Saccharomyces cerevisiae S288C: one gene and its partners. The protein of the gene in region 3 interacts with the protein of the main gene of each other region in a biochemical or structural test. Each region holds a gene or a part of one and is shown on either strand. Other genes may lie near its edges.

Region 1 (3,426 bases), on a different chromosome or scaffold from region 3:
AGCAAAATGGTGTCGTTAGACGATATACTAGGTATCGTGTATGTTACGTCATGGTCGATATCGATGTATCCACCGATAATCACCAATTGGCGCCATAAGTCAGCGAGCGCGATATCGATGGATTTTGTCATGTTAAATACGGCAGGTTACTCTTACCTGGTCATATCCATATTTTTGCAATTGTACTGCTGGAAAATGACGGGTGATGAGTCTGACTTGGGCAGGCCCAAGTTGACGCAATTTGATTTCTGGTATTGCCTGCATGGGTGCTTGATGAATGTTGTCTTATTGACCCAGGTGGTAGCTGGAGCGAGAATCTGGCGATTTCCAGGTAAAGGTCACCGCAAGATGAATCCATGGTACCTAAGGATTTTACTCGCATCACTGGCCATTTTTTCACTGCTAACCGTACAATTTATGTACTCCAACTACTGGTACGATTGGCATAACTCAAGAACTCTGGCGTATTGCAACAATTTGTTTTTACTCAAAATATCGATGTCACTAATCAAGTACATCCCACAAGTGACGCATAACTCGACAAGAAAATCTATGGATTGTTTCCCCATTCAGGGTGTGTTTCTAGATGTCACTGGCGGTATCGCCTCGCTGCTCCAATTGATTTGGCAGTTGTCTAACGATCAAGGTTTCAGTCTGGATACGTTCGTGACAAATTTTGGAAAAGTGGGACTGTCAATGGTAACTTTAATATTCAACTTCATCTTTATCATGCAGTGGTTTGTATATCGATCTCGAGGCCATGATCTGGCGTCAGAGTACCCGCTGTAGCACACAAGGAGAAATCTGCATAATTACGCATATATATATATATATATATATACATAAATATACATAAATATATGTATGTATGTATGTATGTGTGTATGTATGTATGTACACACATGCATGGTTTAAATAGACAAACCTTGGTGGAATTTATACTTTTTTTTGGTGACGAGGACGTCCGTAAGAGCATCGTCGTCAACAAACCATGATACACGACCAGCAGCACCTTCGTTGACAATACTGCTAGGTAGGCCCTTTTCAGGCCTTTCCATAATGGTCTTGATGATGGGCGCCTTGGTTGCACCTTCGACAACGAAAGTAACCCTGTGAGAATGGCAGATTACAGGTATAGTCAGCGAAATTCTGGTCGAGGGCCCACTAGGAGCGTTCTCCACGGGCACCACCCATGCAAGTTTCTCACGTAGATTGTCCTGGAAGTTAGGGAAGAGTGATGCGATATGACCATCGGGGGCACAACCAAGCAGGAACAAGTCGAACATCGGAAGTTTGACGGAATCTCTACCGGCAAACCCGCGGATTAGCACCTTTTCATAGTTATCAGCGCATTCTTGCGGGTCGTCAATCAATGACTCGTCAATGTGGTACACCTTCGGAGTTCCATACTTCGCCGTGTCTATCAGGTCCAAAATCTTCCTTTTGGCGCATCCATAATTGCTTTCATTCGAGCTGAAGGGTACAAGTCTCTCGTCTGCAAAGTAAATGTCCCAGTCTCCCCACCGTACATCGTCTCGTTTTAGCAGACCTTCGTGTAGCACTTCGATCAATGACCCACCGGAGAGAGCAATCTTGAACCGTTTCTCCTTTTTGGGCTTACTGCTACCACTGCCACTACCACTGCTACCACTTTTCCCTTCCGCGGCAGATGCTGTGCTTTTGCAAGAGGCCTCTCTCGTCATATCCAGTGCATTCATGCTGATGTTGGGAACAGAGTGTTTCCTCTCGTTCTTTGGAGCCAATGCACCGTCTTGCGCGTGGACTACATGGTCAGCTACGGCCTCTGCCACGTCTGAAAACTCGTGAAACGCGAATATCTTGGGTACCGTCGTAGTCATATTGTCTTGCTGCAAATTGCTTTCTGTTCTAGTCCATACCTACACTGGATATGACGATGATGATGCCACTATTATCATTGAAATTTGTTAGGAAAACCCCTGTAGCGCCCGCCCTATTTAAACCTAATTTCCCCAGGATGTCTAATCACATTTTCTTCATTTTTTGGAAACTAGACCTTAACATATTTCGTATTAACCCTATGTCTCGAATTGAAAATTTCGCGGGTCTTTTCTCTTGCCTTGGTACCTTATGTAAAAAAGCGATGCCAGGAACAATAGGATAAAAATAGCAGCAACAACATACGATAAGAATTGAGGATGCTAAGCTAATGTTGTTTTACTTAGGGTGGCTATAAAAGGTAGTTCCTTGTAGGTGAAAATGATGATGGATATACTGAATACACAGCAACAAAAAGCGGCTGAAGGCGGGAGAGTTCTGGCTCCTCATACCATCTCAAGTAAGCTCGTGAAGAGATTATCAAGTCATTCCAGCCATAAACTATCAAGATCTGATTTGAAAGCATTGGGTGGCTCGGAAACAATAAGCGACGGCCCCAGTCAGCTGACTTTTAAGGACCGATACGTTTTCAATGAATCGCTATACTTGAAAAAGCTAAAAAAGACCGCTTTAGATGACTACTACACGAGGGGCATAAAACTCACTAACCGCTACGAGGAAGACGACGGTGATGACGAAATTATTCGGTTGTCTAATGGCGACAGAATTGATGAAGACCTGCACTCAGGTGTCAAGTTTTTCTCCACTACACCTTATTGCAGGAAAATGAGGTCAGACAGTGATGAACTAGCTTGGAATGAAATTGCGACCGAACGGTTCAAATGGCAGTCAATGCTGGCCAGAGTGCTGAAGGGAGATATTGTTAAAGGTGAAAAGACGAGGATTGCTAACCAAGTCAAGAAACCAGGGTTAAATAAGGAGCTCTCAGATGAGATATGGCTCGAATTGAAGGCATGGCTGAATGGGAGGACCATGCAAGAGATGGAACAGTCGCTTACATATTTAAGAGATAGTTCAGATTCCGTTTTTGAAGAGATAATGAAGTTTCAAATTCCACAGGGCAAGATATTGAGCCTGGATGCACTGGAGGCCATCTTACAAGACCTCATGAACAGATATCACAGCGTTGTCTCTTATTGGCCTAACTTGAAAAAAATGTATAAGGATAAACCAATCACCAATACTGCAGAATTTACCGCTAGAATAGACGTAATGAATTCTTGGCTGAACTTTAAAACGAACTTAACGTTGAGGAGGCAAGAGTTGGACGACTGGATAAACCGTTTCTCACCGATAAGTAGTTCGGATAATTGCCAAGAGGATTTTGATGGTGTGCCCCAATGGAACTGCAAAATGAAGATTCTTGCAGAACAATTGATGAAGGAAAAGAACATCGAGTCTATATTCCAAAAAAAAATTTTCTATCCGCTATCACCTTGGATGTTCAAACTGAAACTACATTTTATAGTCTACAGAGAAACTTTGACAAAGATGAACATAAAATATCCTTATGAAAGGTTAAGATCACTACTGGCGTTCCCCGTCTAT
Region 2 (4,013 bases), on a different chromosome or scaffold from region 3:
ATCACTGAATTGTGACGCTCAGATAAGATAAACATCCAAAGCGCATACTGATGTCACGCACTGACACAAGTGAGAAGAGAAAAGAAGATTTTATATATGTGAGTTTGAATATATACCTATGCGTACGTTTATATATAATGCATTTGATTTCTTCGAACACGCCAAAAAGTCATTGTTCAGTCAGATTTCTGTGTTTCTTCCTTTCAGCACTAGCAATTACCTCAAATCGAAATTTCTTTAGACCTGAAAAAATGCCAACAAGAATATTCTGTAATGACACATTGATGGTATCGCCCAAAACTGAAAAATTTCTGGAACGGTTTACCAACCAAAAATTGGCTAAGCTGGAGGTGAGGTAGATGGTGCTTTTTCTGCGAACATTGCAAGCATATAAATAGAGAAAAGAACTCCTACTACAGTTTGAGTGGTCGAACGGAAGGTCGTTTTTAACAGTCTCTCATCTATAAAGACTGTACGCATATTTGGAACTAACTGCTTAATTATGTGAACGCTTCTCTGATATCCATCGTCTATGTGCTTCTATCCATAAAAAGGCGAGAAAAGAGAGAATGACATTGCTCAGTGGCGGATGCGGGATGGGAATCTTATATTAGTTACTACTAAAATTCAAATGCAAATTTGAGGTGAAATACTTGAACTCTCAATTCTTGAGGACGAACAAAACAAAAACTTTCTAGAGCGGGAAGAGCTTGCAATACAATTAACTGTAAAACTTCTCTCTCTTCACAATAAATGTGACGATATTTCCGGATCATTTTGTTTAAAGCCAAAAGGAAGGTCAGGTTGGTGACGCTCCGTTAGATATAGATGGAACAAAAGAAAAATAGTGCACTTCTGGAACGTTTGAAAAAGGATTTTTTTAATATTGTAAAAAATGTCAAACTGTGATGCTATGGTCTCAAAGAGGTGTTTCTATTCTTTGATTTTTTTCGGTTGTCCTGATCTTCAAGGCTTAACCTAATAGCCTCTCTAACCATTTGATCTTCAAGTTCGTTTATTGTCGGTTCAGGAGATCTTGAAGCTGACGTACTTTCATCATGAATAGGGGTTATACTGTGACTTGTATTTCTCCTTCTGCTATGGCTTGGATCGATCAACCTATTACTTATATGTATAGCGGTGGCATTCGCGGATCTCCTCATCAACCTTGCCCTTTCTTTGTTCAATTTAATCTCCCAATCAGGACGAATGGTATCCGAAGTAATGGCTGATATGTTTGGCTGACCGCCATCAGCTCTTGATATGGCGGCGTCCTTATACACGTATGAGTCGGCTGGCATACCCCCTATACCAGTTTCACGATTTGTGGGTGGTTGATAAGTGATGCTAAAACTAGCAGTTGCACAGTAGGGGCAATTTGCTGGCTCAGAGGTAAGAAGATTTGGGTCCTTTTCACTGTCATTAGTTTGTGGTTCAGTTGGGTCTACTTCGTCATGAGGGAAGTGAGGATCAGCTCTCTTAATCTGTACAAAACACTCGGTACAAATAGGCTGTTGACAACATTTGGAATAGTTGAAAGGCCCTGGAAAGTATAAAAAACAAATAGGGCATTCCGACCCATTTTTGTAAAGAGTATACTTCAAATCGTCACTTGGTAAATGGTAATTTTTCCTTGGCTGGCTACTGGTATTATCTTCAACATTGCTGGACTTGCTGCCAATTCTTTTCATTTCCAATTTCCTCTCCAAAAACGTCTCATTTTCATTTTCTTGCCATAAAATTCTTTTCTTATACAATCTTGCTCTAAAAATCTTTGCGTGCATTCTTCTCTGTTCCTTCTTGGATAAAGATTTGTCTATTAATTCATTAAATGTTGACTTCCTTAAATTGCCTATCGGTACGTCTTCGAATTCTTCCAAATTTTCATCGAACGTGTCATGCAAGGGCAATCCGTCAACAATTTTTATCAACTCATCTCTAGTCCAACTTTCATCAAAATCCTGCAAAGGAGTGTAAAACGGCGCTAACTTTCTTTTGATTATTAAATTTTTAACGACAGTAGCATCATAGTCCAACTTTTCAAAAGAATAACAGCCAAATGGGGCCAAAAACCCCCCATCTACAGTTTCGCTACACCTCACAACCAATTGTTTAGCATGTGCCTCTTTAGCAAGCTCTTTTTCCCGTGACGTCTTTCTTCTACTAGTGCTGGATAGATGAGAACCAGTTTTTGTACGAGCATTATTCCCATTTAAAATATTATTGACCAAAGACGTCGTGCGTCTCGTTCTCACCCTTGAAGAGGCTTCTTCATCATATTGTTTGATGACAGAATTCGATGATGTAGTATTATATGAGGAATCTGGCCTGACATCATTAAAACTATCTTCCTGGTCTATTTTCCCTGGAACATTACCCATGGTTTGTTTGCTACTCTGGGTTCGGTTTATACTAGCTAGATTATTTGGTTCTAAGGTGCTTCTTCGTTTACTAAAACACCCACTACATCAGCTCGATGATGAACCTTCACTTGCCCCTTTATACTCTAAAAACCTTGTCGACCCATTTAAGGAAGTTGTTACCCGGTTAAAGTAAAGGTGTCATTAAAATAGTTTCGTACTGGCAAAGAATACGGCTTTTATACATAATTCGAAGTGAAATGGCATAAAAAAGTTACAATTTATTTTGGCTTTACCTTATTTTTTTCATAATTTGTATTCATTATAACAGTAATGATAACATAATACTGTTACTACTAATAATGATAAGAATATGATGGTAATACAAAAACAATACTCATAATAATAACAGTAATAATAGTACTAAAAAAAGACATACGTATATATGTTCCTTCCTTCTCCCATTATTCTTGCCTGGGCTCCCTCCGGTGCTATCATTACTTAGACTTCGGATATAGCTTTTTTTTTACAGATGATAGTTCATCGGGAGATAGATGGCCCAATTCGACATTTTCATCGAACTCTAGCAATTTTAAATCAGTTGTTATTTGATTTATTTTACCGTCATCAAGTTTTAGTTCATCAAAATATGGACTACACAGGCATTGTAGAGCATTAAATCTTTCTAGTGGATCATATTTCAAAACGTCAGCTAGAAATTCCACAGTTTGATCATCTTCTTTCTTGAAAACACGTGACAATGGTATTGGTTTAATTTGCGGGAACTTATGCTCCATATAATTGGGATTCATAGAGCAAATTTCTTGCTTTGATGGAGTACCTAAGATTTTAATGATTTCCACTAGTTGATCAATACCACTTTCTCCAGGGAACATTGGTTGGCCCAATAGCAGTTCCGCCATTACGCAGCCAGAGGACCATATGTCGATTTGGTTGGTATAATTTGTTGCGCCGAAGATTAGCTCTGGTGCTCTATAGTACCGTGAACAAATATAGGAAACGTTAGGTTCAGTAGGTTTCAATTGCTTTGCACTGCCGAAATCGCACAGTTTTAAGGACCAGGTCTCAGGATCTACTAATAAATTTTGAGGCTTAATGTCTCTATGACAGACGTTCGCGAAATGATGGAGGTAATTCAATGACTTGAACAATTGAAACATGTAGTACTTTATTTCCAATCTTGACATCGGCGTACGTTGATGGACGAAATGACGTAACCTCTGGTACAAAGATTGTGGCATGTATTCTAGTATCAAATTTAAATAAATCTCATCTTGGGAGTCCCTTTCATAGAAAAAGTACTTCAGATCTATTATATTTATGTGACTCAGCATTTTCATTATTTCCAGCTCTCTGTTCTTGAATCGTTTATCTTGCAGGACTTTCTTAATAGCAACTTTTTCATTAGTTTCTTGAATAACAGTGGCAAATACCACACCAAACGAACCATGCCCAACTACTTCGGTGGTAGGGAAAGATATCTGCACCGGATCATTCGGGTCTATCGTAGGTGGAGGATGGGCGTAGTAAACCTGTTTTGACACTATGTTATTACTGAGATTCGGAGAATTATTGCTTTGAATATTCATCCTGCGCGAGTTCTAGCGTTGCGTGATTAGTGTTGCCGTGTTG
Region 3 (6,332 bases):
TTTAGCGGTAAGTTTTTAATGAATGGCCTGGTGATAATAGATATGAACAACTTCGCTATCGTGTATGCCAATATCACTTTTCTTTTCTACTACTTACTCGACTTTACTCTACCTTTTCATGTTTGTAGATTTCTGTTTCATTCTAGTCTCGAGAATGGCCCACAGCACGGCCAACAGGGGGCTGCGACAATTTCGCGTAGAGCCCATTGTGAAAAAAGCCACCCAAGCTATTATTGTACACAGAAGAATATGGAAGCAAATCGCCAGTGCTACGTGAATGGGACAAAAACATGATGCCTTGTTTAGTATTAGCATTTTAGATACGCCTTTTCAACTTCAAATTGTGCTATAGATAGGAAGATCTCTTTATTACGCAATATATGTTGTGTGTATTTAGGATAAGACTATATCGTCCAACCATACACCGCGTTTCATCTTGTCTTTTTTGCAGCTAGTAAGAATTAAGCATCAAGAATTGTTCAGTTTGCGATGAGTAATGAAATATATTTAAAGAGGACTAATGTTGTTAAAGTAAGCAGTGCTTTTTTCACGCAGTGTATTTTTAGAATAAGTGGCCATGGGTTATATTTTGACAGGATATTCTAGCCGTCATGATAAGAGAAAGAAACATGCACTTCCTTTGCATCGGTATGCATCGTCTTCGATAAACTTGCAGCACCATGTGCATCTCTTAGAGACCCGGGTTTCATCCAAGAGGCCAATATCGGAAGATCAAAGGACTATCAGGCTTCCTGCGAAGAAACTTAGGCATCATCAAAAGCTAACTTTGCAAGATTTACCTGTAGAGATTATTCAACATATTTTCGTTTTCACAAAGGGTGAACCGTCGATGGTCACCTTGAACAGGTTCTTCTATAGTTGCTTGAAGCCATCTTTTTCATTATTATCGAAGATCATGTGGGAAAAATATCTTTTCGATCCCCTGGAGTTTGGCGTAAGTAATATAAAAGCTTATTCAAGAAATATTGTGATCCCTACATTATTTGAGCATGAAACTTTTTTTAGACTACTACTAGATCATCATCCTATCCTGTTGAAAAATATTTCTCATTTTCTTCCCAGAAAGCACTATCAAGATATGCAGAATGGCGATTTTGATACATCTAAAGAGCTAGACTTGTGTTCAATGAACACTGAAGATACATCGAAAGAAGACTTCCCTAAAAACTTTTACAACAATATGCATATTTTTTTAACACGTAGGGAATGTGTGAAGTCTCTAGGTAATCATTTTACTTTGAAGAATCCATATGATGTGATATCCCCTTTTATAGAATGGTTTTTTCAAGGTATTGATATGCAAGGAACTGACCTAAGCCCTAAGTTTACCTTTGTTTCTCTATTTGAATCAATAGATTTAATCCTATACGTCTCTGGATCTACAGTGCAAAAACTAGCGTCTATTGAACCCCTTACGACTGTAATATTTTTATTATATTTCACGTATGCTGATTCACTAGGGAGTCTGAACTTTGAGTTTTTTTTGCAGAATAGATCAAGATTACAGCTCATAGAGAAATTTATCCTGAAATATTATTACAATCCATCATTGACAGAAAACGAACTTTTATCTGATAGCACTATATGGGACCTGTTAAGGCGGGTGTCTGATTTAAAACTCATAGATTTGGTCGTTAAATGCGGCGGAAGGCCTCAATACGGGGTTATGTTTGCATAATTAAATTACTTAGTATTAAGATTCTGCCCCTTGCATGCATGCACAATATGTGCTTGCCAATTCATTTATGTACAAAAGATGGTGTTATATAAGGAATATATTTTGTTTTCTTTGATATTTTCCCTTTCTCATATTCTTGCGGTTTTTCTGCTTTCATTACGTCGCTAATTAGTTTGTCAAAAATTATAACACCGTTAGTTTCCAAGCAATAATTATATAAGGTCCCGTTAAAAAATATCGATAATCAAAAGGTTTTCAAGTAGCAAGCAATAAATAGCTTTCCGAAGACTAAACAGGCTTTCATAGTGTCTCAGTAAGCGTATGGATGGACAACGCAGTTGATGACAGAGAAACACAAAACTATGGGGAAATTTAAGGTTATTGTATTGGCAGGTACTGCAGGTACAGGAAAATCAACCATTGCAGGTGAACTAATCCATGAATTTAAAGATATATACCCGGATTTGAAATTCATCGAAGGTGATGATTTACACCCGCCTGCCAACGTAGAAAAGATGACAAGAGGGATTCCATTAAATGACGACGACCGTTGGGACTGGTTGAAAAAAGTTGCCGTAGAATCTACAAAAGCTGCAGCAAGCACTAAGGAGCATTTGTCAATTGTTGCTTGCTCGAGCTTGAAGAAGAAATACAGAGATTTGATTAGGCACACATGCCCTGAATCGGAGTTCCATTTTATCTTTTTGTATGCAAGTAAAATAGAAGTTCTGAAAAGGCTCAAAACAAGGAAGGGTCATTTCATGAAAGCTGATATGATGGAGTCTCAATTCAGGGATCTGGAGTTACCAGACATCAACGACGAAACTGACTGTGACATTGTTCCCTTAGATTTCAAAACGTTTTATCAAATTGAAAAAGATGTTATACAGGTGGTAAAAAGTAAAGTTTTGAATATTGAGTAAATAACGCTTGGATAAAACGAAGTAAATATTAGAAACAGTTATATAGAAATTAAATACGGTGACCTGGAAAATTAACAAAGACAGAACAAATGTGAATGAATAATAATAGCAACTTCCAAAAAAAAAAAAGGGGTTACAGGGATCAACAAAAAAAAGCAAGAAAAAAAATGAATAAAGGGAATACCATAAAAACAAATAACATTAAACGGATGAGGGGGTCATAACGGAAGTGTGAATATAACTACAACTTGCTTTGGCAAGTAATATTTTCGGGAAAACAGATGATCATCAAGAGAAGGTCTATCAATTGTGGGCTTAAAACAGATGTGTAGTACACTTTTGTGCCAAAAAGGAGGGGGTTAGTTAGTTAAAGAAGAGGAACTCATGCGAAGTTCGTTGAATTTTTTTTCGAACAAGGAAAATTTGTTGGAAATCTTAGAACATTCGTTATCGGACTCGCAAGAAGTGCTTGTGAACGAAGAATGCAATCCAGTGTCTGTGTCTAGCGTTCCGAAACTGCCACTGCGACTGCCATTATCATCGTCTATCCCTTCTTTGATTCCATCTTCTTCCTCACTTGAAGATGTATAAGATAAATTCTTGGCAGCTTTACTATCGTGCATGTACACGTAGGATTTTGGAGACAAATTCTCATTCGTGTTATCGACGGGGCTAACGAACTTTTCATAAACAGACTTGGAAAGAGGCGGCACTTTTGATAACGGGCCTTCATTGGTGAAGCTTGTAATAGAACTAACTTCTTTCATCAACTCTTGCAAGCTCATTCTATTCTTCGGATTCACTTGTAAAATCTTAGATAATAATGAGTAAAAGTCATCGGAAAGCGGTAGGATTTGCTTTAGTATATTGGGATCCTTAGTGAAATAATAGTAGGTATTATCCTCGGTTTTGTCAGCCTTCAGCCAGGGATTTCTGATGCATGTCAAATTGATAAGGATGATACCTAATGACCACAAATCGCCATTACATGAGGGACAAACCTTACCCAACTTATGTCCCCCACTTTTAGAGCTGGAAACTCTCCCATCAAATGAGATTCTTTCAGGGGGCATATAATACGAGCTACCAATGCAAACATTTGGCTTTATATATGTGGAAGTAGTGGATAGACCAAAATCGCATAGGAAAACGTTATCTTCTGTATCCAGTAGCAAGTTTTCAGGCTTGATGTCACAGTGGTAGATGCCGTGCTCATGGCAATAATTAAGAGCAGAACAGATCTGTAGAAAAACCTTTTTTACTAGCAGTCCATTAGTGACAAAATGTCTGTTATCTACAATAGACGTGAATAGGTCTGTTGGGTAATAATCCATGACAATGAACGTGCAGACTGCAGATTGTAGCACCTCATGTATGGTGACAATGTTCTTATGATGGTGGACTCTTAGGTGTAGCGAAATCTCTTTATAATGGGGCAGCTTTTTAAAATCTTCTTCTGACATATTCTCAATTGATTCTAGATCTATAGAGGGCACCCTGACAACGTTTTTCGATTCCTTGAACAGTTTAGCGAGCTTCTTTTGCAATTTCACGCTATTTTTGTGTATTTTATCATTGCCCATATCAGCCTCCTTGCTAACACCGTAACTTTGAACAACCGCTTTGATAGCGTATTGTCTATCGGTACGAATATCTAAGGCACGGTAAACCAGACCGTACGCGCCTTCGCCAATTTGAGAAGTTATTAAGTAGTTATTAATTCTGCAATTATGGAACATCATCATTACTTTTTTCTTTTTTTTTTTTTTTTCTTTCTCTTATTTTATTTTACTTTAGTATTTCACCTTAGTATATTATCGTACAGTAAATGTTAAGAACTTTTGTAAACGTAACTCATAAAACAAAAAAACAATGGTAGCGCCAACACCAGCAACAAAAAGAGGTAAACAAAAATATAATAGCAGTGACACAAATGTAAAAACGCTGTAAAGCTAATAAATCAAGTCTTTTCTTATAGCACTTGTAAGTATGAATAAATATCAGTGAGTCTTAAGGTGGCAACGGTAAGGGAGGGAGAGAACCAAAGCAGTTTTAAAATTAAAAATAAAAATAAAGGTTTAATAGCACTATAATATGGCACACTAAATTTAATTGAGGTACGTTTTAGGCTCCAGTATAAACAAAAGGGCACCAACGTCAACATGTATAAATAATAATAAATAAATCGGCGAAAACGTTCCAACGTGCGGCCGCTGCTTGGCAAATTAACTGGACGGGGTTAAGTGGCAAGCCGCGCGAATTAGCGGACGCGGACCTAGATACACAAGCGAGGACTGCTAAGTTAGGCCATGTTGGCGGGGGTAGTGGCGGTGGTGGTGGCGGCATCCCTTCCCCACGTTTTGGTCCCTTTAACGTAACTGGTAAAAGTAGGATCGACTACCCCTTTTGGGTTACACTTTGGTATCAGTCATCCATCAGCGGAAAAAATGGACAGCTTTGACTATCCCTATTGTGTACCCGGTTCCGAACTGGTGTTTCCGTACTCACGTGCCGAAAGCTGCGTAATAGTGCATTGGCAGGATATGATGTGATGGATTGTATGGTGTTTCCAGGGCAGGAAGGGAGTAAGAAAAAGGAAGCAAGATGACGATATAGGCGGCGCATTTTCTATCGCTGGTGTTGGGATGCAGAGGATCCGTCGCAGTGTGGTCTTTTTTCGTACGTAGTAGTAAAAGCTATCCCTATTTATGAAGGAGGAGACGGAGAGCGGCAACTTCTTCTTAGTTCTAGAAGTACGTAGTATTTATTTTCTTGGTGTGAATGCGTTTATCTTCCGATGGCGCGTGCGTCTATTGTAGGTTTTCTACCATTTTTTTGACTTTTTCGTCGAACAGGTTAGATCTTATAGGCATTTCCATTGAGTAAGATGGGTCTTTCATGACGTAGTCACTATACAAACAGTAAACCTTCCTTAGGAAGTTGTCGGCTATTTGGATGGCCAAATTGGATGTACTCTTGGGTCGGTCAGGCTTGTCGGTGGTGGCTATAGTTGGCTGTCTCTGGGGCATGACGCTGGAGCTGATAGCGACAAACTTCAGGCCGGTTAGGGTCTGATATATGAACATCGTGAACTGATCCGTGCATAGTTGTCTCAATCCGCTCTTGTTCCAGTTCGTAAATGGTTCTTTGAAAAAATCATCTCCTTTAAAACTGCCCAGTTTTTCATTATTAGTGTGTTTGTTGTTATTGCCACCTCCATTTCTTGTATCGCTCCTATTGCTGGACATGCCCACGTAAGGTATATATGGGATGGTATTTTCGATGTTCGTTTGTTGAGTTAGCTGTAATGCCTTCGGAGTCAGCTGGCTCGCGATGGCGAATACACCGTGCAGTGTACTAGCAAGAATTAAGTATTCATTGCTGTTCAATTTCTGTTCGTCGTTGGTAAAATTCCGCTGATAGATTAGTCCGCCTGATTTGTTTATTACAAGTATTGTTTCGATGGCCATTTCAATTTTTCCCGTTTAAATCCAACACTAAAATTGCACTTTTGAACTTATGCAAAGGCAGATTCCTTTTTTTAGTTTCACTCTTTTTCTTCTCTTCGCACCGCCCAACTCCTGCCGAGGAGGCATAAACTCCAACATATGATGGAAAAATAAAAGAATGTGTAGCATATTATTGAAAGAATCTTCTATAGGCCTAAATGTACATAAATTATAAAACAACATTTTAAAGCAGAACCAGTA

The links.
Region 1: of the proteins of VHS1 (region 3) and SOL2, one has a biochemical effect on the other in vitro, tested with the Saccharomyces cerevisiae proteins (2 studies listed by BioGRID).
Region 2: of the proteins of VHS1 (region 3) and SIP5, one has a biochemical effect on the other in vitro, tested with the Saccharomyces cerevisiae proteins (2 studies listed by BioGRID).

What each region holds. Positions count from the first base shown.
Region 1 is NC_001135.5:245,396-248,821, reverse strand, and holds SOL2 (Sol2p), read right to left. Parts: upstream 1,860-3,426; coding exon 912-1,859; downstream 1-911. Other genes in the region: cystinosin-like protein ERS1, read left to right, coding at 7-789; mitogen-activated protein kinase kinase kinase SSK22, read left to right, coding at 2,239-3,426. UniProt on the Saccharomyces cerevisiae protein: May be involved in regulation of tRNA subcellular distribution.
Region 2 is NC_001145.3:546,082-550,094, reverse strand, and holds SIP5 (Sip5p), read right to left. Parts: upstream 2,382-4,013; coding exon 912-2,381; downstream 1-911. Other genes in the region: YMR141C (uncharacterized protein), read left to right, coding at 51-359; serine/threonine protein kinase RIM11, read right to left, coding at 2,858-3,970. UniProt on the Saccharomyces cerevisiae protein: May negatively regulate the SNF1 kinase by promoting the interaction of the REG1/GLC7 phosphatase complex with the kinase. Deletion of SIP5 promotes resistance to artemisinin, which is probably an indirect effect of an action on the electron transport chain.
Region 3 is NC_001136.10:954,048-960,379, reverse strand, and holds VHS1 (putative serine/threonine protein kinase VHS1), read right to left. Parts: upstream 4,368-6,332; coding exon 2,982-4,367; downstream 1-2,981. Other genes in the region: YDR249C (uncharacterized protein), read left to right, coding at 578-1,699; YDR248C (gluconokinase), read left to right, coding at 2,041-2,622; YDR246W-A (uncharacterized protein), read right to left, coding at 5,047-5,247; TRAPP subunit TRS23, read right to left, coding at 5,433-6,092. UniProt on the Saccharomyces cerevisiae protein: Probable serine/threonine protein kinase involved in the G1-S transition.